3 linked regions of the Caenorhabditis elegans genome follow. The protein of the gene in region 2 interacts with the protein of the main gene of each other region in a pairwise test. Each region holds a gene or a part of one and is shown on either strand. Other genes may lie near its edges.

Region 1 (9,796 bases), on a different chromosome or scaffold from region 2:
GAGGTCGGCTCGACGGGTTCCAAATACCAAAAAAAAAACCAATCAATCTCAAAAGCCGACCTCTGATCTCGATTGTGCCAACCGAAACCGGTTTTAATTGTTTTATGGTATTTTTGTTGTTATTTGAAAATCTTCTTGTATACTTCTCAACGGGTACACATCCACTTGACTTGTTCGCTTATCCAAAATAGGAACATGACAATAAAATGATTGTCTTATCAATCTGTTGTACATCAGCTAGAAAAAGATAACAATTGTTTTAATATCCAATTTCTTGAAAGCTTCAAAGGCAGCATAATAATCAAATCACATGCTCATCACTCTTTGAAACTCAAAAAATGACAAACATATAATAACAGCAATTTGTGGGTAATTGGCAATTAAACGGAAATATGAAAAAGATACCAGTATATAAAATCGTAAAAAGGAGGAGAAGGAGCGAAGAAGGGAAAGAATTCGATGTAAGTAAAAAAGGGGGATGAACACGAAAAATCTCCAGTATGAAGCAGCATAAAGCGATATTTTAAAGTTGAGGATAGGAAAGAAAACAAAAGGATATTCACAGAACAAATACAGCAATCTCGAATTTTCAGAGCAAAAAATGCAGAGAGCAAGAAAAATTTGATAAGAAAATTTAAAAGGCGGATATCCATGAAACAAGAAGATTTCGGGGCATATGGGGGTAAAGCTCATGAGGATCTTAAAACAATCATACCTGAAGTAGTAAAAAGGGGATGTCCAAAAGCATGTAAGGGTACTTGGCAGGGAAAATTTGGAATATTCTATTGGGAAAAGTAAAGGAATGGGAGGGGGAACGTGATTACATGGAAAGAACTGTATCGGCACCAAGGAAACTGGCAGTTCGACTAGCTATCGAGGCTGTGTCAATGTCGTGAAGGGACCATTCTCCACTGCGACCCTGCAAAAATTAAAATTAAATGCATTCTTTAGTTTTTAAATTCAATAATACCTTGACTCTAAGTTCCATATCATGGAATTGTTTCAGCGAATACCGATGACCAATTGACACAAATGTGATCTTCTCTTCTTGCAATTTCCTATAAATTGCCATTTCCAGCTCGAATCCAATTGCTGACGTGGATTCATCAAGGAAAACTATCCGTGGCTTCGTATAAAACACTCGAGCCAGTGATAATCTTTGTAGTTCTCCAGGAGATAGTGTCTTCATCCAATCCCATTCAACTGGAGTATCAAGACCACCACATCGTTCGACTAGATGCTCCATCTTCACCCATTCCAAAATTTGAGTGATTCTTGCAACATCCTTATCAACTTGCAATGCTTTGACTGGATATACGATTTGTTGTCGCAGAGTGGTGTTTCCAGATGGGAAATATGGTTTTTGAGCCAGGAAGAACAGATTTGAAGTGAGTCGACGCCAATGACAATCCATTTTTCCTGACGAACAATGCCAAAGGCCAGCAAACATTCGAAGAAGTGACGATTTTCCACATCCACTGTCTCCAGTTATCAGAAGAGTTTGACCTTGGATTATTTGCAACGAGAGCACTGAAATAAAAGCTTTTTATGGAGAAAAAAACAGTTTTCTTTTTTTTTTTTGAAAATTTAGCGAAAAATTGGTTTTATGGTTTTTGACACCAAAAAAAAAACCAAGACAATTTCGTAGTTTGAAGACTTATTTTTTTGTGCATATATTATCTAGAAAAATGTGGTTTTTTAATGATTTTTACGTTTTGATTTATAAATATTAATGTTTCAAAATAAATTCAAAATCGACTTTTTCTTCCAGGTTTTTTGACCGAAACAATCTTTTGTCCCGGCTGTGATTTTATAATTTGAAATCTATGAATTTTGTAGTAGAAATTAAAAACTTACACTGAACTATCAAATGACTATGGTCATTGGGCGGTGAAAGTGTAGCCGAATCTACAGTAATCGCGACACCATCATCCGGCCAATCATCCTCTTGACCAGTTTTTCCTCCGAGTAGATATTGTGCTTCTTCCTCTTCCTGCTCATCTCGTTCCAGAGACATTTGTTTTCCATGAATCTCTTGCATGTGTCGGGACGCTGATTTATCATCTTCATCAGAAGCAATAACGACAACTGAAGATGGTACTGTAGATGGAGGACGATCAGTTTCAAGGCAATCCGAGTGAAGACGATTCAGCTCTTCGTGAAGTTCCATAACACTGAAAATTGGAATTTCGAAAAAAAAATTATCAAACGTATAAAAAGAAGAGTATTGGCGGTTCGACTATTTTTTTTGCACATAAAAATGCAACATATTTTTGATAAATGAAATTTCCTCTTTTTCTCTACATTTAATCCACAATTTTTTCTAGTGTTTCGATTTCCAATTTTTCGTTTTTGTTCAAAAACTAGGAAAAAAATGATGTCAATCTTAAAAACTACAGTAACCCACTCCTAGAAATTTTGCAATTTTTTCAAAGTTTTTTCTCCAAAAAACTTTTTTTTACGAAAACTTTATTTTCGTATTTTTGGTGATTATTGGTGATTTTGCAATCATTTTTAATTTTTCTCTCCGAAAAAAAAAATTTTTGGCGGAAAAAAGGTGCGGTGTTGTTTTTTTTTAAGCGCACAATTTTTCTAAAGTAAATATCAACAAAAAAGTTCTCCATGGGGAGAAATTCACAATTGAAACATACCGATGAGTGACTCCAGCAAGTTCTCCAAAATCTCCAGTGAGTTTTAACACCGTCGAGAAGCTGTAGATGAGGTACAGGTAGAAGAATGCATTCTGAAATTTGAAATTTTTTTATTAAATACGTTTTGAAAATGGAAATTTATCTTCCCTTGATCATTTAAATTTTTCAAATTATTTCTTCAATCCCATTTCAATTGTCATTTAGGATCCCAGTCCAACAATAGGGACGAAAGCGGCAGATGGGCTCAGATAGTTGGAAAGTGATTAATTAGTTTGTGTGCTAGAGGACAATAAATTGGCGACAGAATACGCGACGAAAAAGGGAATAAGCCTCTTGCAAATTAAGACAAGTCGAGAGTACTTTTCAATTTGATCTTTATATATTTTTGATGGATTAGTCTCTTTTATGAGTCACTTATAATTTTCCCCTCAATTTCTTATTGTTTATGAGATGGGCAGGTGGCCATGGGGTACGTGCACATTTGAAACCTCAAAGAAACAACGGAAGACATGTTTTTCCGGAGGTGTGACGTGAAAATTGGTAGCTTTTGGAAGAAATATTTAGTAGAACAACAATATTTGAAGTTTCTATACTTATAGTAAGTAGGCAATTTTATGTCATTTTTAGTGAAATATTTTAACGAAAATCCCATTTTTGTTCTTGACCGATTGTCTTTCACTTTCGAATTTCAAAGTTTTGTTGGAAGAAACCAAGAATTTCAAAAACTGCTATAGAATCCCTTTGGGCATTTAAATTCGAACAAAGTAAAACATCATCAAGTCATTTGGGAGTTGTTTTCTTCTTTTGTCTCCCCTCTTCTTCTTGTAGTTTAATCATCATCATTCATTTAAAAAAAAGAGCATTGATGAGATCATCACATTGTATCTAAATGCTCCAAAAGAGTCAGCTGACATTCCCTCTGTTCCATCACCCAATTCATTTTTCTTTTCTTTTCTTCTTCTGGCAACAAAACGACGGAAGGAATTGGAAGAAGAGACGAAAAAGGAGTGCCGATTGTGTTGTCTTGTGACTGCAGTTCAACTGCTGCTCAGAACAACGACCATCTGCTTCCCGGGGTGACAAGACACTTGAAAGAAAGAGAGACGAGCACCACAAAAATGGATGCATTAGTGATTTTGGATCCTTTGAAATGATCTTAGATTTTTTGAAGAAAGACCGACGATCGGATCTCGACAAAAGTTAAAATCTTCAAGTCACTACTACCCGTTCCACAAGATCCCGTAAGACAGATTTCAGTTCACTTGCCCTAGATATCACATTTCCATTGGTTTTTCAAACTCTAAACATTTCTTTTCTTTTTTTGTAAGTTGATAGGATGCTTCCTGTCAAAGTTTCTGAATTGTTTTAATTATAGTGCACGACTCATTGAGCAATCAAAAGTTTGGAACAATTTCAATATTAACTAAAAGGAAACAGGAAACATGATAGGACGCTTCCGAAGTAAGCTGCTCAATTGTTATGATTATAGTGCTCACTGCATTGCTCAACTCAATGAACAATCATAAGATCAACACAATTTCCAATCACTTTGAATTGAACAGACACCAAAATGCCAGTGTGACCTGATAGATTCTAATTTTTTATGATTATAGTCCTCGATTTACTGAATATTCAAAAAAAGTCGAAAGTAGTATTTTCGGACTCAGCGACACCGGAAACAGCCAACTCATTGTATTCTTCTGTTTTCCATTTTCTTCTTCCCATTACAAAATGCTTTTTTCTTCGATATTCATTCACTAGTTACTACGACCAGATGTCGTTCTGAACTAAGGCGGCAACAACAGCTTGTTTTTAAGAGTATAATGATGGCCACTTCAACGACCAGGTACTTTGGTTTCATTTGGCATCGTTCCCTCATCCGGAACAACCAGAAATCTCAGTCTGACGAAAGGGAGAGAGAGACGATACGAATTGAAATGTGAAACGGATAACTAGCATCCATTATTAATGCACTAGAGCATGCGAAATTGACTCAATCAGTGTCGAGATTTCGAGAGTCAGAATGAAAAGAAAATACTCGCTCGCCGCCGCGTCAGGAGACGAATCAGGAAATTCTATCGAAACTTTGGAAAGTGACAGGAAGATGAAAGTTTCAAAAGTGGGCATAAAAAAGTCTTTCGATGAAAAATTAGATTTCTAAAACATTTTTTACATGATTTTAGAAATTTAAAATTAAACTATTAAAATTAAAATTTAAATCCTTTGAATGAATATTTCAGAGATTTTAAAGATTTTTAATTAATAGAATTTTTTTAAAACATTTTTTTAAAATTTAGCTCGATTTTGAACATTTTGTTTTTAATTTTAGACAGATTTAGACGAGAATTTATTACATTTTTTTCTGCATACTTTTTGCTTTTTGTCTTCTTATCAGTATCGAATTGCATCGAAACATCGATGATCAAATTTTGAGCTTTGCATCTTTTTTTTCAGATATCTTTTTGAAAAGAAACAACTTACCCGTGAAACAATTCCATTCAATTCTGCAGGTGAAACGTCGTCATAGAGATGAGTGATGAACACGGGAACACCAATGATAAGATACGAAAGAATTCCACCGAAATAATCGAAAACATTCGTGATACTGTTTAGAACCATTCTCCATTCAGTTAGCGATTTTTGAGTTTCAATTAAATTTTTTAATTTTTGATTCGTCATAATATTCTCCAGAACACCAGCACGATAGAAGGCGATTGCTTCGACATTCGAACGAACTTCCATATGTCTTTGTCGGAAATCTCCTTCCATTTTCTCCTGTTCTGATACTTTTTGAACAATCGGAGACAAAATCATCTTGTTGATAATTGTTTGGATACAGAAATAGGTGTAGATCGCTGCGGGACCAATCCAACCGGAACTTTCATAAGTTAGCCATGTGTAATATCCAATTATGAATGGAGCTGTAGCAATTGGAGCTAGAAGATCATTGGAAAGGATTCGAGTGGCTTTTTCAATATCTTGGGTTAGACGTTGATCTCTGGAAAAATATCGAATTTAAATAATTTAAATTGAGAGAAAAGTTTTTCCTTTCAAAATTAAATTATCACGATAAATTTTTGATCGTTAAATCTTGTGTTGACATGTTGGTACGCGCATTTTAAGGCATCAAATTTTATTAATTGTTATAATGTGCCTATATCAACAAATTAACGCGAAATAAACAGCAATAAAATATGATATTTTTATTCTAAGCTGTATTTTAGCTGTTGCGACAATGACAAGTTGAACAAATTTCAAATTCTAGCTTAACTTGGTTTTTTCCAAATTAAGCGAAAAATCTAAAAACTCATAGTCAGCTTTTCAATTAAAAGAAAAATTGTAAAATATTATTTGATTTTATAAAATTAATTTATATAAAAAACTTACGGATTATCAAGCATATCCCCAGAAGAAGATAGCTTGAAGAAAGCTTGTCTCTTGAAATATAACCTATGCATCGTGAGATTACATACTTGACGACTTTTGATCGCTAACATATTTGTAAGATATTTGAATACTGCTAATGTCTGAAATTAAACGCTAATTAGGATGAGAAAATATCGAATTTCGATCTTACAAAAGCTTTTCCAAGAATAATCGCGGCTCCCCGTGCACACAGAATTTTAAACGTGTCAGCATCCTTGTTTCCCAGTGCCACGTAGAACAGACTTGGCTGGATTCCAACTAAATACGTCATTACTTGATCGAGAGCAGTTGCGATGAGCAGTGCTCCGGCGAGCCACGCGGTTATCGATCGACGATGACATGGAAACAGGATTTTAAGAAGACGCCAGAACCTCCGAAAGAAGAGGAAGTCGAGGGCCAATCTGGCCATTTTGACCGGATTTTGGGCCGAGGCGTTTTTGCGACCTGAAATTTTGTGATTAGGAAGGCTTTTTTCAGAAGATGCCCCAGAAATAGACATTAAGAAGAGGAGGAGTGGAGTTGAATTCAAGAAAAATAGTGAATTTCAGTGGAGATTTTAGACAAACTTGAAGCTTTTTTTATGACTGGACAATTCTACTGAGATCAACCGGAGCAAAAAACAAAGCATTTTTCTGGAATTTAAAATGTTTCAAGGAGAATATTTAAGACAACCAAACACCATTCAAATCCGAAACAAAAAAGAAAAGAAACGTAGGCCGGCCATACCATCCCATTCAAACCAAATGAGGTCGATAAAGGCGTTGAAAAGAGCACAAAGAAATGAGCACAGAGACGTGGACAATGAAGAACAGAAATGGATAATGATTATCACCTTTTTCTGTTCGTACTTCTTCCAGTTGAATTTCTTGATCCGACTCCATGCGGGATGTGCAATCTGGAAAGAGCTGGCTGTGAGTGAACATGCAAAAACATAATTTATATTTACAATAACAATAGAGATAACGACGATCAAAACAAAACTAAAAAACAAAAGCTATTCAAGGTGCTGCTGAGTTTTTGTGCATTGATAACAATTCAGTTTTACAGAAAAAAAAACAGAAAATGAAGCTTTCGGCATAAATTATTACAATTTTATGTTCCAAACATAAATAAACAGACTATAATGATTCGAATATTTTGAGAAAAAGCTTCAGTTTTCGACGGTTTTGCAGGAATAAGTTCGGTCAGCTGTACACGCAAATACATTTGCGTCCGCACACAGTGTAACGAGGAGAGTGGGGGACAGGAGAAAGTGAGGCAAGCGGAAAGAGAGATTGCAAACGCAGACGATGAAGAAAAAAATGATGGGCGGGGAAGCATTGGGCACTTTTTGGGGGAAAGATGAGGACCCTTTGATATTCAGAATTTTATATTCAGATTTATAACGTGATTCGTGCGAGGAGAATTATCAGTTTTATATAGGATCTTTGAGTTGAAATAAGACGAGAATTTAATTTTTTATCAACAAAAAATCGGGAAGATATGTAACGAATTTCTTGAACGGAAAATAGCAAGGAATCTTAAAAATTTATGAAAAATAAATTGCAATTTTCATACTGTAGAAATTAAAGGGACATTACGAATAAGCCGAATAAGGCCTCGGCACGATTTCAAAAATGCAAATACGCTCTGTTGGAATTTGCTTTTCCCGCTCAGTTTTTTAAATTTTAAAACTTTTTTTTTCATTCTTTTTCATTTTGGCTCCTCAAGATTGTTCCTGCTTTTCGATCGTTTTTTCGAAACCGAAAATTACGAAAATACACCCAGATTTTGGCGATTTTTGTAAGCCTTTCTATAGTTTTTAATCCCCAACAAAAATTATATTTTTTAAGCCGACGGAGAGAATCCAATCCCTCGACATTTACGGAAGATCGCCTCAAAAAAGGAAATGAGTACAAAAAGAAAGATTGTGGTTTCTTCGGGTAAAAAACAAATTGCATTCTGTGCAAATGTGTATTACGAAATTTCTTTTTTTAAGATTCCGATGATGATATGCCATTCACCCAGGAAAAGCAAAAGAAGGCAGCGACACCGGCGAAAAAAAGGGTTCGGAAATTCATGTGAACTGAACCCTCATTGAGAAATGTTTCAGACAAAGCCAGTAGTACTAACCGATGACGACGAAGAAGAAGAAAATGCACCTCAAAAAAAGACTGCACCAAAAAGATCGAGAAAGCAAGAAAAAGAAGAGAGCGATGTGAGAAAGCACTCTAATATCCATGAAATATCGCAATAATTAGCTTTTAGATAACCTCTGACGAAGACGAGCTCGTGCGCGGAACTGATGAAAAAAAGAAAAGAAAGGGTGGAAAAAAGGAGTTACCAGTTGGTCAAAAAACGCTGGATTATATGTTCAAACCTTCTTCGTCATCTTCGAAACGTGATGATCCTAAGAAAAAAGTCGAAAAAACATTAGTGAATCCCGCAGACTTCTTCAAAAACTCACCAGCGCCATCTGCATCAAAACTTCCAAAAGTTGCTCCGAAAACTGTTGAAAAACCAAAAACGCCAGCTAAGAAGCCAGTGGAGATCAGCCCGTCGACCAAAGAAAACACTAAAACAAAGAAAGTGTCGGACGATGAGTTCGTAGATTCTGATGATAGTTTTGACACGTTCACTCCTATTACTGTGAAAAAGAAGACACCTGAAAAGAGAAAGGAGACCCCGAAAAAGAAAGAGCTTCCTTCTGTCAAAAAAGAATTCCCAAAGAAGCAATCAATTCCTGTCAAAAAAGAAAAAGAAACTCCACAGAAAAAGGCGTTATCAGTGAAAAAAGATCCACCGAAAGTAACCTCCGAGTCATCTTCGTCGAGTCAAGTTTCCACGTCATCAGTCGTTTTTCAACCGAAACCAAGTGGGCCACCCCCAGCACTTTCATGGGTTGATAAGTATAAGCCGAAAAGGATGGGAGAACTTGTTGGCCAGAATGGAGACAAAAGCCCAATTAATAAGCTTTTGGAATGGATTAAAGACTGGGCAAAACACAATCTTGGCGAAGGGGCAAAAATTAAGAAGCGTAAGTAATTTTATTTCTATTTTATTATAATATTATCGGCAATTTTCAGCAAAACCAGCTCCATGGATGTCATCTCAAGATGGTACATCATTCAAAGCAGCTCTTTTATCGGGTTCTCCTGGAGTTGGAAAGACTACATGCGCCTATATGGCTTGTCAACAACTGGGCCTTCAACTTGTCGAAATGAATGCATCAGATGTGCGTAGTAAGAAACATCTCGAAGCGAAAATTGGCGAACTCTCTGGTTCTCATCAAATTGAGCAGTTTTTCGGAGCGAAAAAGTGTGCTCCACAAGATAATCAAAAGGTTCATCATATCCTGATTATGGATGAAGTCGACGGAATGTCTGGAAATGAGGATCGAGCTGGTGTGAGTTTAAATGAAGAACTAATATATTAATATTCAAATGTTTATTTTTACAGATCTCTGAGCTCATCCAAATTATCAAGGAGTCTAAAATTCCAATTATTTGCATTTGTAATGACCGGCAGCATCCGAAAATTCGTACACTGGCCAACTATTGCTATGATCTTCGTTTTCCAAAGCCACGTGTCGAGACTATTCGTTCTCGGATGATGACCATCTGTTCTCAGGAAAAAATGAAAATTGGCAAAGAAGAATTGGACGAAATTATCGAGTTATCCGGTCATGACGTCCGGCAAACAATTTACAACCTGCAAATGAGGTCAAAGGGAGTTGGAGC
Region 2 (7,915 bases):
TATATAAAGTGATCAACTACAAAGTTGTTTATCTTAATATAAAGTACAACTTTGTAGTTAATTGTTTTTTATCAAAAAACTTGTTGGTCGAGATAAAGTTGTGTAAAGTTCGGCACCTTCATGCTTGTATTTTCTTCTTCTTTTTCTGTTCATATCTCATCCAACCAATTTTTTGATAAAAAACGATTAACTGCAAAATTGTACTTTATATTAAGATAAACAACTTTGTTGTTGATCACTTTGTCATAAAAAATTATTACACGGAGTTATCAGCATCCGAAGTGAGTGCTTTTTTTGAATTTTGAGGTTCTACTATACCTCAGGTTTTAGTCTGAATTCGCGTTCAGAACATTTAAACTAGATAAACAACAAACATTGCATTTTTCTATAACATCTGATCAAATTTTGAAAAGTTTTCAAAAAAAGTTTTCAAAAAAAAATTTAGAAAATTTTTGTAAGGGGTACCCTTTGGATTTTTTTTCATAAATCGAAAAAAAAACATTGAAACCTAAAAAAACCAAATGTTTTTGACACTATCGCCAACAACATTTCAGTTGGACACATTTTATTGCAAAATCTCATTGCCAACTATCCTATGCTGACACCTTTGAAATATGCTTATGCTGACGTTTTGAATATGCTTATGCTGACGTTTTGAATATGCTTATGCTGACGTGCGCTTATACTGACAAGAGCTCTCACGAGAATTTCGTGATCCAAAAAACACATTGAAAGCTTATATCAGGACACCTGACGATGTAAAAGAAAACTGAACCTATCCAGATTCGAACCAGCAATGACTGTATCTGAAGACCGTGCGCTTAACCACTACACCAAAAGGGCGAGAGGTACGCGCGTTGACCTGTCTATATATATATTTTTTATCGTAAGTTTGATTTTAACATTGTTCTCTCTGGTGCTACTGGCACTGCTCCACCTTTATTTCTTTGAAGTCACACAGTAGTAAAAGAGCTATGTTGGTAAACGGTAGTAAAAGAGATTCCGTAGTAAAAGAGCCGATTGTAGTAAAAGATCTAGATGTGGAATTCGTAGTAAAAGAGATTCCGTAGTAAAAGAGATCTTGTAGTAAAAGAGATGCGCAGTAAAAGATCAAGTAGTAAAACAGTATTTGCCTGCAGCAAGTGCATCTTGTCCCACACGTTTTTTTTTAATTTTCCAATAATCCACATTAATTGTAATCAATGTTGCAATCTGAAAAGTGAAAATCAGCTAAATCAGAAAATAGGAAACAACTTACGTTTTGAGTTTAAATATTTAAAAATAAGTGAAAGAAGTGTACAGAGAAAACGCAAAGAAATTAAAATTTAATACGAACGCGCTGGAGCGCAGTTACATCGACCTTGAAAAGTGCCATTGTTTGGTGAGCCTGGATAATATCTGAAAAATACTGCATTTAAGATTTAAAAAATACTGCATTTAAGACAGCATTTAAGATTCGGTGAGCCTACCTCTGGGGCTTGTTTTAATACAACGTTCCCTTGAACATTCTCATACTTCGTAACAACATTTCTACCAGTTTCCGTTAATATATCGAGAAGGTGCATAGTTTTTGAATGCTTATTGAAGACTTTACACATGGATTTAATATACCATGTGCCCGCTTCTTCGTCTCGATAAGACGTAAACCCGTCCGTGGTGGAAAACGAGATGATGACGTCGGCGTTCAATGAAGTGAAGGTTCCCGGCTGAAATGCGAAAAATATTAAATCGATTTCTCCTTTAAACAAACCATTATACGTGACATCATTAAATTCCAAAATTTCGAGATTGGAGCACATTTGTCTTCCAAAGCTGGCAGTCCGTCAACGGGAACACCCATGTTCAATTTTCCCGAAAAAAGTTGGTTATTCGAAAAATAGAAAACCGAAAAACAAACCTCCGCGACATGCTGACACGGCAACCCATTTGGGCTTGAGAAGAAGATTTTGATGATACGCTAAATATGTGGATACCTCCATTACATTGACAGGCATGTCATCAATTCCAAAGACACTTCCAGCTCCATCACCATGACTTAATAGGAAGAGTATGATCGAATCGGTATGTGCCATCTCCGCGAATTCCTTGATAGCTTCAAGCATGCTCTGAAAACACAACCCTCAAATAGAGCTTAATAGTTTCACCTTACTTCAGCTTCAAGATTCCGTTTGCAAATTACTGTGTACTGAAGCTTTTGGAACAACTTGGTTAGATTTACTTCGTCTTGTTTCGTTCCGACTCTTCTCTCCATATTCTTGAAGTTCTCGTTACTTAATATGAGGACGGTCCCTCTCGGATTTGAATTCATCTCATAACAATACTTGTGTTTATGGTTCGATTTCTTGGCGTCCGTTCTCGGCATTCGACTCTGAGAGTCATACTCCTCCAGTGAATACGAGCAGTCTGAAAGCAGTTATTTCTTATTATAGATTCAAAAACTATAAATTAGTCGGGCTTGCTGATAGTACAGGAGGACCATAGGTTCTTATTTCCCGCCCATTGTGTAAACGGGTCTCTTGAGCATTAGTTTGAGCAAATGAGCTCCGCCCCTATGGTTAGCGTCGTTGGCTAGTGAAAGCACCTAGGCCCGCCCCTCTTTGTGTGTAGAGAATATTTCCCGTGGTTGACCACCCACATAGTTTCGTTGCGACAGCTCAAAGTTTAGAAAAATACCTTTTTGAGCCGCATCGTGATGGGACACTCGGACACCACGTGGGGTCTTAGCAGAAAACATGCATTTTTCCAAAGCTTTGAGCCATAATAATTTTTAAAAGAAATTTTCAGGACGTCTCATTACGAATTTGGTAGTTTAGGGCCATTTTGGATCTAAAAAAGCTACGACTCAAATTTCGCTGCACCACCTGTTAGCTGCTGATGCCTACATGCTTAAAAGTGAGTACTTTTTCTAATGTTTTTTCTATGGGCACTACAATTTTTGTCCTGAAATCCAAACCGCTTGCAGATGAGCTAGAAAAAGGAGATTTAGACGTTTTTATAAACAAGAGCTGTTTAGAATACATTAGTCTCACAATGCTGTCCTATATCTTGGTGAGCTTATTCTAAAAATAAATTAAAATGCCAAGCCTGAGCCGAGTTTTATGCACTAAAAAAGCCTGGTTTCATTTGTCCCAATCGTTTTCCTATTATTTTTCTTTCTAAAAGCCAATCACTTTTTGGAATTAATGACCTTCTGAATTCTAAGGAAACCCAATAGATGGAAATATGAGAATCGAAATTTAGTGAGAAAGTATCTTGCTTCGATATCTATGATTCTATTAAAAATTTCTTCTAGTTTTTTCGCAAAGTTATTGTTGACTTACCATGGCGGGTTTCAGCTGGGTCATCTAGTTTGGTGGGCTTATCAAGTATCGGTGGTTTCATACTTGAACCCAGACTCGATTGTACATCTAGAAATTCAACTGGAGATGGCTCTTGTATATTTGGATCCTTATTTTCAGTCTGAAATGAATACATATTGTGGTGAAACTACAGAGAAAATTCGGAATATCATGAGAGAACATCACTTTGATCTCGCTTCTCGTCTCCGGAGTCTTTTAAATCAATGTATCATAACATTGGCAGAGAGCGAGAAGTCAAAAGAGGAGAGAAGGAAACCGCAGAGACTTCAGAAGACTTTTAAACATTTTAGAGAGTACTTCGAGAAGTATTTACAGACCCAATACTTCAAAATCAAAAAGTGAATATGAAATGTGCAAACAAACCCTATGATAAGTAACAGGGGGTGTGGATATCCAATGATATGTGAATCCAGAACGATGAGTACCACTTAAGGTCAGAGAGTCGGAAGAGTATGAGATCAATCTTGAGTAGCAGTCTAGTGAAATTGTCGCTTTCGATGTGAACCTGAAAATACTTTAGTACATTTATACTCTTAAATAATACAACATAAATTTGATTAATGATTGTTTTTTAAAACAAATTGGCCATAAGTTTTGTGTTGCAAAATTAAAGTTCAAAATTGACAATTTTATTGGCACGTCGATTTCCAAAAAGTGAAGACCACTTTCTGCATTATGTTGCAATTAAAGTTGGAAACATTTCAAAAGTATTTCGAAAAATATTTGGCAAGTGAATCTGGTGACTCATCTTTGTTCTGAATCAGGGGTGTGCGGCAAATTTGCCGAACTTGCCGAATTTGCCGAGCACGGCAAATTTTGAGATTTGCCGCACACCCCTGTTCTGAATAATTCTTTTAAATACTAACCGGTTCCAGAAATCCACAGAGTCTATTCGAATTCCTGCACCATAGATCATTCTTATCATAGTTTCCTCGTCGAACTCGCATGTTTGAATTGCATTGGGAAGGAGTGGTTGGAACTTTTTCTTCACCGTTTCAATGCAGAGCTCAGATTTAATGCGTCGTTGGAAAACTGCATATATTTCCTTTTGGGAGAAAGGTTCTTTTCTTTTTTCTACTTGTTTTGTTTTGTCTTTAAGGAATTTCAGAAATCGTTCCATTTCAAAATCAATCAAAAATTCATCATTTTCTCCAAGAATTGGCTCTTCTGTATAGGAGCCACTTCTGCATATTTCGAATGTTGACTCGATTTCGATCTGGAAAAATAGAATATGATTTTTCAAAAGGCAAAACTTCATCTTTACAGCTACTTCACATCTATGTGGCCGTGAAAATGAAAAAACTCGGCCATCCACATTAAAATGTGTTCTACCAAAATCTTATTAAGATTATTTCGGCGAGTTTCACATAGATCTGTGATTAAAAAACCGATATAAACTTCTGACCGAGTTTCATTTCTTCTAGGCCAAGTAACTGTGGAGCATCATCGCGAAACTCACTAACCGTATTAAAATCTTCAGTAGATATTGTTGTTGATGAAGACATAGAAGAAGTCGTTTGAAAATTATTGAAATCTTCGACCAAATCATCGTCGAATTGTGATTTACAATTATCTTCTATCGTTTTCAGGACCTGGAAAAACAGAATAAGATTTTTCAAAAGGTAAAACTTTATCTTTATAGCTACTTCACATCTACGTGGCCGTGAAAATGAAAAAACTCGGCCATCCACATCAAAATGTGTTCTACCAAAATCTTATTAAGATTATTCCGGCGAGTTTCACATATATCTGTGCTTTAAAAAAAACGCGATATAAACTTCAGACCGAGTTTTATTTTTCAACACCAAGTAACTGTGGAGCATCATCGCAATACTCACTAACCATGTTTAAATCTCCAGTGGATTTTGATGCTGATAAAGAGATAGAAGAAATTTTTTGTGGTTATTGAAATCATTGACCATATCGTCGTCGAAATGTGATTTTGAATAATCATCTATACTTTTCAGGATCTGGAAAAACAAAATATGACTTTTCAAAAGACAAAACTCTATGTATCTTCACACAAAAACCGAAATCATCGCAAAACTAACTTACCATTTCTTTTTGAATTTTATCATCAGCCAATCTCACTTTCATCTCATCAGCCTCAGATCTCATCTCATCAATTTCATCAGCCAATATCACTAAACTTCGATCCAATTCTGCCTTTACATATTCTTCATCGTCACATAAGAATTCACTATCAAACGTCGACCAGTTGTCCATCTGATTCTCCAATCCCGTTAAACTCCGATCCATTTCCGCCTTTACATCGTCTTCATCGTCGTTCATCTTTCAAAATTTGCAGCGAACAAAACAGCAATTTTAAATACTAGAGAATAAATGATTTAATTTGTAAATTGAACTTCCATGAACTCAAATGTGTTTACACGTTTTTGGCAATATTTTGAAACTCCTTGCAGTTTTAATGATTTTAAAAATATAAAAATTCTCGATATTGGATTTCTTCAAATCAACGAAAAAAAACTTACCCTTCGTGATCAGATTCAGAGCTGTCATGAAGATTGAGATCAACTTCTTGAGTTTCATCAGCAAGTTTCGGAGTTTCAGCCTTGTGTTAACGGACATAAGCCGGTGCCACAGCTTATGGTTAAACATCATGCAAAAACACTTTGATTGTGTGCTAAAGCATTTATTGAGTCGTTGCTGTGCCAGACGACGAGAGCCTTACTTTCGTCCGGCGCCAGCAGGCAAGGTCTTTCTCGACTGAGGATGTTATTCTCTAGTCGGCTTATATACTCGTGAGGGCGTGACGCTCCCTGCTCAGAGACCGCGTGGGCTTGGCCTTCATTCCGAGATGAAAAACTTTTAGGGTGACAAGGTATTTTTGGGGACAAAGTATCCAAAGTGATATGGTATCCAGTCGACAAAGTGCCATTTGTCTCTGACCGGATCTTCGGTGACAAACTTTTTCAACTAGTTTTTTATATATATTTCTCGATCGATTTTTGTTTTTTTTTCACTGGAATAAGTTTTTAAATGCAATTTTCCATGGATTTCCGGCCTTGACTACTCACAATTGAATGTATGAACAATGATCTTTTGGGAAAATGCTGTAAAACGTCCAACTAACTTGGAATATCGTAAGATTCTTCCTTATAATCTGATCCTCAAGCTCCGAAGGATCACAGGGGGTACCTCCTGGTGATCTGATCCTTCAGCTTCAAAGGATCATAAGGGTACCTCCTGGTGATCTGATCCTTCAGCTCCGAAGGATCAGAAGGGTACCTCCTGGTGATCTGATCATTCAGCTCCGAAGGATAAGAAGAGTACCTCCTGGTAATCTGATCATTCAGCTCCGAAGGATAAGAAGGGTACCTCCTGGTGATCTGATCCTTCAGCTTCAAAGGATAAGAAGGGTACCTCCTGGTGATCTGATCATTCAGCTCCGAAGGATAAGAAGGGTACCTCCTGGTGATCTGATCATTCAGCTCCGAAGGATAAGAAGAGTACCTCCTGGTAATCTGATCATTCAGCTCCGAAGGATAAGAAGGGTACCTCCTGGTGATCTGATCCTTCAGCTTCAAAGGATAAGAAGGGTACCTCCTGGTGATCTGATCATTCAGCTCCGAAGGATAAGAAGAGTACCTCCTGGTAATCTGATCATTCAGCTCCGAAGGATAAGAAGGGTACCTCCTGGTGATCTGATCCTTCAGCTCCGAAGGATAAGAAGGGTACCTCCTGGTGATCTGATCCTTCAGCTTCAAAGGATAAGAAGGGTACCTCCTGGTGATCTGATCATTCAGCTCCGAAGGATAAGAAGAGTACCTCCTGGTAATCTGATCATTCAGCTCCGAAGGATAAGAAGGGTACCTCCTGGTGATCTGATCCTTCAGCTCCGAAGGATAAGAAGAGTACCTCCTGGTAATCTGATCATTCAGCTCCGAAGGATAAGAAGGGTACCTCCTGGTGATCTGATCCTTCAGCTCCGAAGGATCAGAAGGGTACCTCCTGGTGATCTGATCATTCAGCTCCGAAGGATAAGAAGAGTACCTCCTGGTAATCTGATCATTCAGCTCCGAAGGATAAGAAGGGTACCTCCTGGTGATCTGATCCTTCAGCTTCAAAGGATAAGAAGGGTACCTCCTGGTGATCTGATCATTCAGCTCCGAAGGATAAGAAGAGTACCTCCTGGTAATCTGATCATTCAGCTCCGAAGGATAAGAAGGGTACCTCCTGGTGATCTGATCCTTCAGCTCCGAAGGATCAGAAGGGTACCTCCTGGTGATCTGATCATTCAGCTCCGAAGGATAAGAAGAGTACCTCCTGGTAATCTGATCATTCAGCTCCGAAGGATAAGAAGGGTACCTCCTGGTGATCTGATCCTTCAGCTTCAAAGGATCATAAGCCGCACTTCACGCGGTTTTATTTATCTCAAACAAAAATTTTTTGGTAAAAAACTTTCAACTACAAACTTGTTCTTTACAACAATATCAACAACTTATCAGTTGATGACTTTTCTGTAAAAACTTTATCTACGGAAATATTTAATTCCGGCAATTTGCCGATTTGCCGGAAATAATCATTTACGGCAA
Region 3 (8,065 bases), on a different chromosome or scaffold from region 2:
TAGTGTATGAAACAGTTTACGCTCATTTCTCAGAATCAATATGTTAAATGATAGAAAAATGTGACAGCTATCAATAAAATAATTAATCTGTCCTAAAATTTTTCATTCTCACAAAAAAGATTTTGTACGCGCAACTCGAGTATCAAATTATGAGTCACCCTGTATGCAACGACAACTTTATTTCAACAAAAAAAATCGATAGTCGAAGATTCATTGTAGGAAAGAAAACATTGAAATACAGAGGTATTTAGCTTTTTTCGTCAGGGACCTTTGTCAGAGCTTCTGTGATCATTGTCTTCACATCCTCATTTCCATTCTCGTTCAGACATTAAAGTTTGAGCTTTAAATAGAAAAGCGCCGCACGGATGGCATACGTGAAGAAGATGCTCATTGTGAAGACTCCAGCACGTTGATCACGCATCTTTCTGAACAAGTCATCACAATCGGGAGTTTTCCCATCTAACACTTGTTCTATGATGATTGAAGTGAGCACTACAGTAGCTGAGCGATCTAGACCAAGGTCACACATTACAATCACTGGGGGCTGCTTTCCAACTGTTGGTGAGCTTTCCTGAAAGAAAATTCTTGTTTACAATAATTATTTGAAATAGTTACCAACCTTGACAGGAGCTCGAACCAACGCGAGCACTTTCTTCACATCATCAGGGTAGCTCTTCCATGGCCACGTGGTGCAATTGTAGACTTTGGCAAATGTTGCCTCACTACATCCATCTGCGACAACTTCCACTGTATATTTGTTCATCCAGTTTTTGCATAGTTGATCTACGTCTACAGCTCTAGTGTTGATCAGCCAACCTTCCAGATTCAAGTAGTGATTTGTCGACAGAGGGAAAAATGAATGATGGAGATTATTGACTTTTTGAAATCGACCAATCACGAAGCGAGAAACTCGCTCGTTCTTTCCCCACACTATGGACGCCTCGTACCTGAGGCCCCACGGAAAGGGGAGCAGAACGAAAAGGGGATCAGCAAAAAGGGGATCTGCGAAAAGGGGATCTGCGAAAAGGGGAGCAACGAAAAGGGGAACTGGCACTGTGCCAAAGGCAATCTATCCCATGCTCACATTTCCCATGCACACATTTCCCATGCTGACACTTTCCCCCGTGCGTACAAAATTCCCATGCTTACGCCCAGTAGTTGGAGTACTCCCATGCCTACAACTCATTTTTCTCCTTTTTTTTCGTTCCCATGCTGATATTCTCATACATACATTTTCTCCCGTGCATACAAAATATTCTGATGCTTACGCTCAGTAGTCGAAGTACTCCCATGCATACACCTCATTTATTCCATTTTTTCGTTCCCATGCTGACATTCCCCCACATACATTTTTTCCCGTGCATACAAAATTCCCATGCTTACATCCAGTAGTCGAACGTTCCCATGCTGACATTCCCATACAAACATTTGTTCCCATACTTACAAAAATGTATTCCCATGCCGACATGGAGCATTTTTGTGCTCCAGAAGAGAACAAAGTCAATTTTTTTACTCATTTTCATTGTATTAGGCTTACTTGACAGCTTTCAGTTACAACTGATCACTTTTTTTTTCAAAATGCATTAGTTCTCGATTATGAACAAGGAATCGAAGAAAAATGGGGATGACTGCCTATAGAGTAAAATTTTTTTTTTGCTCAAAAATTTTTTTTCTCTCTATTTTGTAGGATATCATTAATTCGGTGAATTCCACAACTTTGAATGTTCATATTGCTGTTTCCGTGCAGTTATGAGTTTCGCAGTGTCTTAGGAACATTCCATTTTTTGTTGCATTTTGTAGGAATTCGGAGCTATCTTATAATTTCTACAAATTAGTATATCCATTTCGCATTATTTCATGTATCTTAAACCTATTGCTTCAAAAATAGCACAGAACGAATGTTGATTCTGTTTCTTTCATTAAAAAATGTGCTACTGTGCATTTTTTCCCACTTCTACGACTTTAAAGGCGCGCGATTTATACAAAATGGTCCCGTCATTGGTCTCGCCAGCGCTCAACAAATCAATGGGATGCGCGTGGCGAGATTATTGCGCGAAAATTCGCGCGCCTTTAAAGTCGTAGAAGTGGGAAAAAAAAATGCACAGTAGCACATTTTTTAATGAAAGAAACAGAATCAACATTCGTTCTGTGCTATTTTTGAAGCAATAGGTTTGAGATACATGAAATAATGCAAAATGGACTTTCTAATTTGTAGAAATTATAAGATAGCTCCGAATTCCTACAAAATGCAACAAAAAATGGAATGTTCCTAAGACACTGCGAAACTCATAACTGCACGGAAACAGCAATATGAACATTCAAAGTTGTGGAATTCACCGAATTAATGATATCCTACAAAATAGAGAGAAAAAAAAATGTTAAAATATGGGAATGTCAGCATGGGAACGTTCGACTACTGGATGTAAGCATGGGAATTTTGTATGCACCGGAAAAAATGTATGTATGAGAATGTCAGCATGGGAACGGAAAAAAGGGAAAACATGAGTTGTAGGCATGGGAGTACTCGAACTACTGGGCGTAAGCATGGGAATATTTTGTATGCACGGGAGAAAATGTCAGCATGGGAAATGTGTGCATGGGAAATGTGAGCATGGGATAGATTGCCTGTGCCAAACGCACAAAACGCTTTTTTTCTCATTCAACACACGTCGGTTTTTTAAATAAGTGTTACAACGACACTCAACATTAATTTTCCTGACAGATTGGCCGATTATATTTGAATACTTTGTCAAGTTAGGTGTTATTTCCAAGACCTGATATTCATTCCAAAAATCACAAAAACCATGTGATGACACCTGCAATTCTTTTCCTTAGGCTGTTTCTCGTTCCTCACCAACGATTGAAATCTACAAGAGGCCTTCGGAAGAGACGAAGGCGGTGACCGGCGCTGCTGCTGGACGAGACACGGGGGCCGATGCGACAGATTTGCGGAGATATTACACAACATAGACAATACTACAGTAACTGAGAAATAGTATAAGATTGAGTGTAGAGTGGACAGACATTCCGCCTATTCCTTCTTCTTTTCTTCTTTTTCAATCCCATCTCGTCTTTTCTTCCATCTCGTCCAATTCATTCATTGCATCGAGTAATGTTGGTGTCGCCGACTGCCGCTGCAACGTCCATCGAACAGCAAACTATTCGAGATCTCAGGTATACAGGTCTTGACACGTTTTATATTGATTTACACGTTTACAATTTTATTCCGATTAGGAATTTTTTACATCTTTATAAAGAAACCGTAATTTTTTTTCGAAAATTAAAAAAAACTACTTGTTTTTGAAAATTTTCACTGAATACCTTCTTTGAATAGATTTTGAGTTACAGATACGTAGTAACTGTTAGAACTTTAGAATAAAATATATTCAATCTTACAATAGTTTTCAACCAAATTCACAAAGTTGGGTAAGATTGTGATCTTCCATGTAGTAATCACCGTATAAACATCTTTTTATTTTTCTGTAATATCCGTTCAACTTTCGCGTACTTTCTACTTTGAACTTTTATATTCAAATTGTTTCAAAACATATTAAATTCCAATCTCAGAAGATTTTTCATTGTCACATACAATAAATAAGTTGTCCATTCTTCCCACAAGAATTGTGAACGACCTTGTTAAAATAATTATACGATGGTGAATCCCCCGCCTTAGTTTTGGATGAGATCATAGAATATCCCGGAAAAGTTGTCTTCAAATGTTTTATACTCACAAATTGTTCCCAAACAATGTAATTTTTTTTCATAAACACTCTAAAAAATTATCAGTCAACGTTTTGTAAAATTGCCAAATTTTCGTTGAAAATGAGTACTTTTAAAGAATTTTTGAGCAATTCGCTTGTTTCAATTGCTTATAATATTTGAAGACAAATACTGGGAGCACATTTGAAATATAAAAAACGTTTAAAAAATTGAAAAAAAGTTTTTTTGATTTGCTTCCAAAATTATGATAGATGAAGACTGGGTAATTGCTACGTTTTGATTATAAAGACAAAAATTTCAAAAAAAAAGAACTTGAAAAATTTTGCTATGATATTTGGTCATTTTCGCACCATAGAAAAATTTCTAAACATTTTCCCCACGGATGCTACTCTAAATTTGATAGCTTTAGTCATGCAGTATAGACTCAGAAAGCTACTGAATTTATGAACAATTAAAAATTACATTACTCACAAAAATTGGAAAGAAAATGTTCAATATTTAGATCAATAGTTCCACAAATAGACAATTTAAACGATGGTTATGTGCTCCGCTGGCTCCGTGCAAAAGAAGGACGATTTGATGAAACTGCTGAAAGCTTAAAGAAGCATGTGACATTCCGTAATGCTTGGCATCTTGATAAAATTGAACAATGGACTCCTCCAGAAGTAAGTGATGATGAATTTAATGAATCATTATAGATCATACATCACTTTTATATAGCTTCAACGATTTTATCATTCATAAGATAAAGATCCAAAAATTACAACGTTGAAAAATAAAATTTGTCAGATATTTTATAATTCAATTTTGAAAAGAAAGGGGCAAAGTTGATCAAAATCATAGAAGCTAAGGAGAAAAATGTATGAAAACATTGAAGTTTTGATTGGAAAGCTGCTGATTGAATATAAATTTAATTTCAGTGTCTAGAAAAATATTGTGGTTATGGATTGCTGGGAGACACAGAAGGACGTCCAATCCTTATGTCACTGTTGGGAAATGTGGATGTTGAAGGACTTTTGAGATCAGTTGCTTCATTGGATTATATCAAATTCTCATTGGCTGCAATTGAAAAAGGAATGAAACTTTGTGAAGAAAAAGCAAAAGAGGTGTGTTCTTTCAATGTTTGAGAAGTGTATTGATTATAAGTTAAATTATTTTCTGGCTGAAAATGAGTCCCTTTTTTTTACGATTTTTATTTTCTCAGTATGATTTCACTACTTTTATCTAAACATTGTTGGTGTTCGATTATTTGGCAGTGCTCTAAATTTCTGAAAATTTGGAAGTTACCTGAAATTTTAGAAAAATTTGAAATAGTTAGGGTGTTTTTTTAACAATATGTTTTCATTTGGAAACAAATGCATTGACCTACAAAAACAAAATATTGCAGTCCGGCCGTCCATTCGAACAAATGACATTAGTCTTTGATTTGGAAAATATCACATCTGCTCATTTTTCATGCAAACAGTTTGCTTCATCATTTACAACTCTTGTCAGTCTTTTCCAAGATCATTACCCATTGTTTCTTCGGAAGATTCTTATTATCAGGTTAGTAATAATTACGTCTTTGTTATAAATGAATACATTTCAGAGCACCAGAAATGGCTAGAATTGCGTACGCTTCTATTACGGCAATTCTTCAAGATCCGATCACTCGCCTCGTGGAAATGCCTTCCGAGGTAAGATTTTTTATTTTTGAAAAAATTCCAACAAAAAATTTTGAAGTGTATATTTTCATTATGTTTTCTAAGATTATCTATGATTTTTGTCCAAGGACTTATTTGGTTTCCTAATACAAATATTACAACTGAATAAGACTAGATCAATTCTTCGATAAAATCGTTAGAACTTTTTTAATAAGGAAAATCAAAGATCGTATTAAACGTTGAATTGAACTTTAATCAATAAATATTTTTCAGTCTGATTGGAAATGGTCTCTTGCTCAAATCGTAAACCTCGATGCATGGCCAATGTATTGGGGAGGTAATCTCGTCGAAAACGGTGACCCAAAATGTCCGTCACGTATCAAATACGGAGGTGGCGCTGTCGATGAAAGCTATTTCGTGGATCCAAAAAAGGCGATGGCTGACTACGATCAATTGACTACAGTTTACGCAGGAGATAAACATTTAATTCAGATCAAAGTGAAACGTCCAAGCCGGATAAGGTTTGTAATGGGTTTTTGTGGTGGATCAAATATTTGCAAATTTTCAACATGTATCTTAAAAGCATATTCTTGAAAAATTGCCAAATTTAAACTTTAAACAATTAGGTTGTTTTAAAATTCAATGCTCAACATTTTTGAACGCCTTATTAAAACGTATTTAAATCAGATCATGTATTATAATTTTTTGCGGTCATCTGCCAAAATTATGACTGTAATAAATAAATAAATTTCGAGTTTTACTAGAATATTCGGTGATAAATTTTGTAATAAAATATTTTCCAGCTGGACCTATATGACTGATGAAGATGACATTGGGTTTGAAATTCATTATGATAAAACAGGATCATGTGATAAGTTAACTGAAATGGAAACTGTTTATCCATATATTCGTCTCGAATGTACAAATGTTCCAATCACAGGACATCTCGATGTGACTGATGTTGGAAACTGTTCGTTTCTTCTTTTTTTTATATTTTCAACTTTTCAAGCGTTCAGATGTTCTCGAATTCGACAACTACTATTCGTGGTTCTCTGCCAAGCAATTGCGCTACAATATTGAAATCGAAGATTTGTAAATTCTAATGTTAATCGGAGGATAACGCTGATAATAATAATGTATAATTATTTACAATTTTCAAAACTAATGATTATATTAATTTTATATAAAGATCACGCTTTGTAGCTAATAAGACTATTAAACAGATCATTATTAAAGGAAACAAAAAAAGATGAAATGTGATAAACATTTGAAATAAAAACAAAAAAAAGTAAACCCGACCAAAGAAAACAGGAAAAGAAATCGAGCTAGATGGATAAGGAATGGCAAATAAACGGACAAAATTAGGATTATATCATTTAGAAATGAATAAGAATTTCTATTTATCAACAACGAATTTGAAAACTAAAAATTGACATGTTTTGGGGAAAGAGAAACGGGATGATGGAAATTATATCGCAGTTTACGAAGAACCCGTGAGTGTAGTGTGTGCAGGTAGACGAAAAGATGGAGTTAGACTAATGTCGGCGGTTTTTCTCCTGAAAATATTAAACATCAAAAAAATGTTGTTGTTTTCTTAATGAATACCTTATGTTGCTCCCGATGGTGATGATCCTTGTGATGATCTTTATGATGTTCCCGATGATGGTCCTTACTAGTTCCTTCACCATGATCCATCCGCCTTTCTCCACGATTCCTTTCTCTGTCCTTCTCTCGATCCCTTTCCTTGTGATCTTTGGCTTCTTTCGGCTTCTCCTCCTTACTCTTATGATGGTGATGGTGATGGTGATTTTTGTGTTTATCAGAAGTTATACTTCTATATCGGTCAGCCATTTCTCCAGGTTCTCTCAGAGTGAACTTGCAAAGAAATATCCACAAATAGTTATACCATTTTCGAATATTTGTTTTTGGCTTCTTTTTTATAAGAGTTTCGAGGTTTTCAAGGAACGAGTCGCCGAGTCGGGTAAGATATTTGGCCTCGTCAGCTTGATTTTTGGCTTCCTGCGCTTCCTTCAGTTTTTTCATGTATTTATGTACCGGCATGCAAAGCTTCACACATTCTGAAAATTCATAAACGTTTTTGATTTTTTTAATGGAATAGATTTGGAGTTAATTTCAACTCAACTTACAATAGATGTTCTTAGACTTTCATAAATGAATATAGGATGATTAGAAGCCAGAGCTGTTATTATTATTTTTTTTCGAATTTCAGACATATGAAGTTTAATTTAAGAATACTATTTTTTCTAAAAATCCACATTTCTTTGCAGTCAAATTCATATCTGAATGTCTTAGAACATATACTGTAAGTTCTGAAATATTTTTTCAAAGTTTTTACCTAGGAATGGCTTGGCACTGCTATCCTCTAGAGCACCTCCATAAAGAGATTTATCAATCGAAAGAAGAGCTAGCTGATCTTTCAAACTGCTGCTGTTTTTCTCTTCTTTCTTTTCTTTTTTCTTCTTTTCTCCCTCTTGAGGAACATTATTCGTATGCCTTTTCTTCTGAAAAATTTAAATTATATTCAATAAGAAGACATTAAATTCCAACCTTTTCTGGTCCAACTGGTACATCATCTGCCTTTCGTTTTCTTTCCTTTTTTTCCGTTGTCTTCACTTTATCCTTGGACATTAGTTTCAACAAATAATCGACTCGAACTTGTAAGTTTTTTCCTTGCGGTTTTT

What was found. The genes of interacting proteins can lie anywhere in the genome.
Region 1: the proteins of csp-1 (region 2) and pmp-3 interact in a two-hybrid assay, tested with the Caenorhabditis elegans proteins (one large-scale study listed by BioGRID).
Region 3: the proteins of csp-1 (region 2) and ctg-1 interact in a two-hybrid assay, tested with the Caenorhabditis elegans proteins (one large-scale study listed by BioGRID).

Annotation. Positions count from the first base shown.
Region 1 is NC_003283.11:14,643,915-14,653,710, reverse strand, and holds pmp-3 (ATP-binding cassette sub-family D member 4), read right to left. Parts: upstream 6,973-9,796; 5' UTR 6,959-6,972; coding exon 6,910-6,958; intron 6,522-6,909; coding exon 6,229-6,521; intron 6,179-6,228; coding exon 6,039-6,178; intron 5,650-6,038; coding exon 5,133-5,649; intron 2,744-5,132; coding exon 2,652-2,743; intron 2,175-2,651; coding exon 1,858-2,174; intron 1,531-1,857; coding exon 971-1,530; intron 920-970; coding exon 821-919; 3' UTR 246-820; downstream 1-245. Other genes in the region: rfc-1 (Replication factor C subunit 1), read left to right, coding at 7,966-7,999, 8,056-8,123, 8,170-8,274, 8,325-9,093, 9,143-9,462, 9,516-9,796.
Region 2 is NC_003280.10:13,598,493-13,606,407, reverse strand, and holds csp-1 (Caspase A subunit p16), read right to left. Parts: upstream 5,205-7,915; coding exon 5,202-5,204; intron 4,952-5,201; coding exon 4,823-4,951; intron 4,576-4,822; coding exon 4,226-4,575; intron 3,865-4,225; coding exon 3,723-3,864; intron 3,460-3,722; coding exon 3,321-3,459; intron 2,404-3,320; coding exon 2,150-2,403; intron 2,106-2,149; coding exon 1,899-2,105; intron 1,854-1,898; coding exon of another isoform or gene 1,853-1,853; coding exon 1,751-1,852; intron 1,707-1,750; coding exon 1,470-1,706; intron 1,399-1,469; coding exon 1,351-1,398; downstream 1-1,350. UniProt on the Caenorhabditis elegans protein: Cysteine protease which, in vitro, cleaves itself and caspase ced-3 into their mature active forms. Also cleaves, in vitro, inactive caspase csp-2 isoform b.
Region 3 is NC_003279.8:7,002,608-7,010,672, forward strand, and holds ctg-1 (Protein ctg-1), read left to right. Parts: upstream 1-2,835; 5' UTR 2,836-3,112; coding exon 3,113-3,174; intron 3,175-4,222; coding exon 4,223-4,385; intron 4,386-4,640; coding exon 4,641-4,826; intron 4,827-5,107; coding exon 5,108-5,265; intron 5,266-5,308; coding exon 5,309-5,396; intron 5,397-5,636; coding exon 5,637-5,884; intron 5,885-6,166; coding exon 6,167-6,333; intron 6,334-6,379; coding exon 6,380-6,459; 3' UTR 6,460-6,593; downstream 6,594-8,065. Other genes in the region: chd-1 (Chromodomain-helicase-DNA-binding protein 1), read right to left, coding at 6,899-6,919, 6,969-7,441, 7,720-7,885, 7,932-8,065. UniProt on the Caenorhabditis elegans protein: Vesicle trafficking protein. Functions in uterine cells to promote basement membrane (BM) mobility and BM gap formation during tissue remodeling.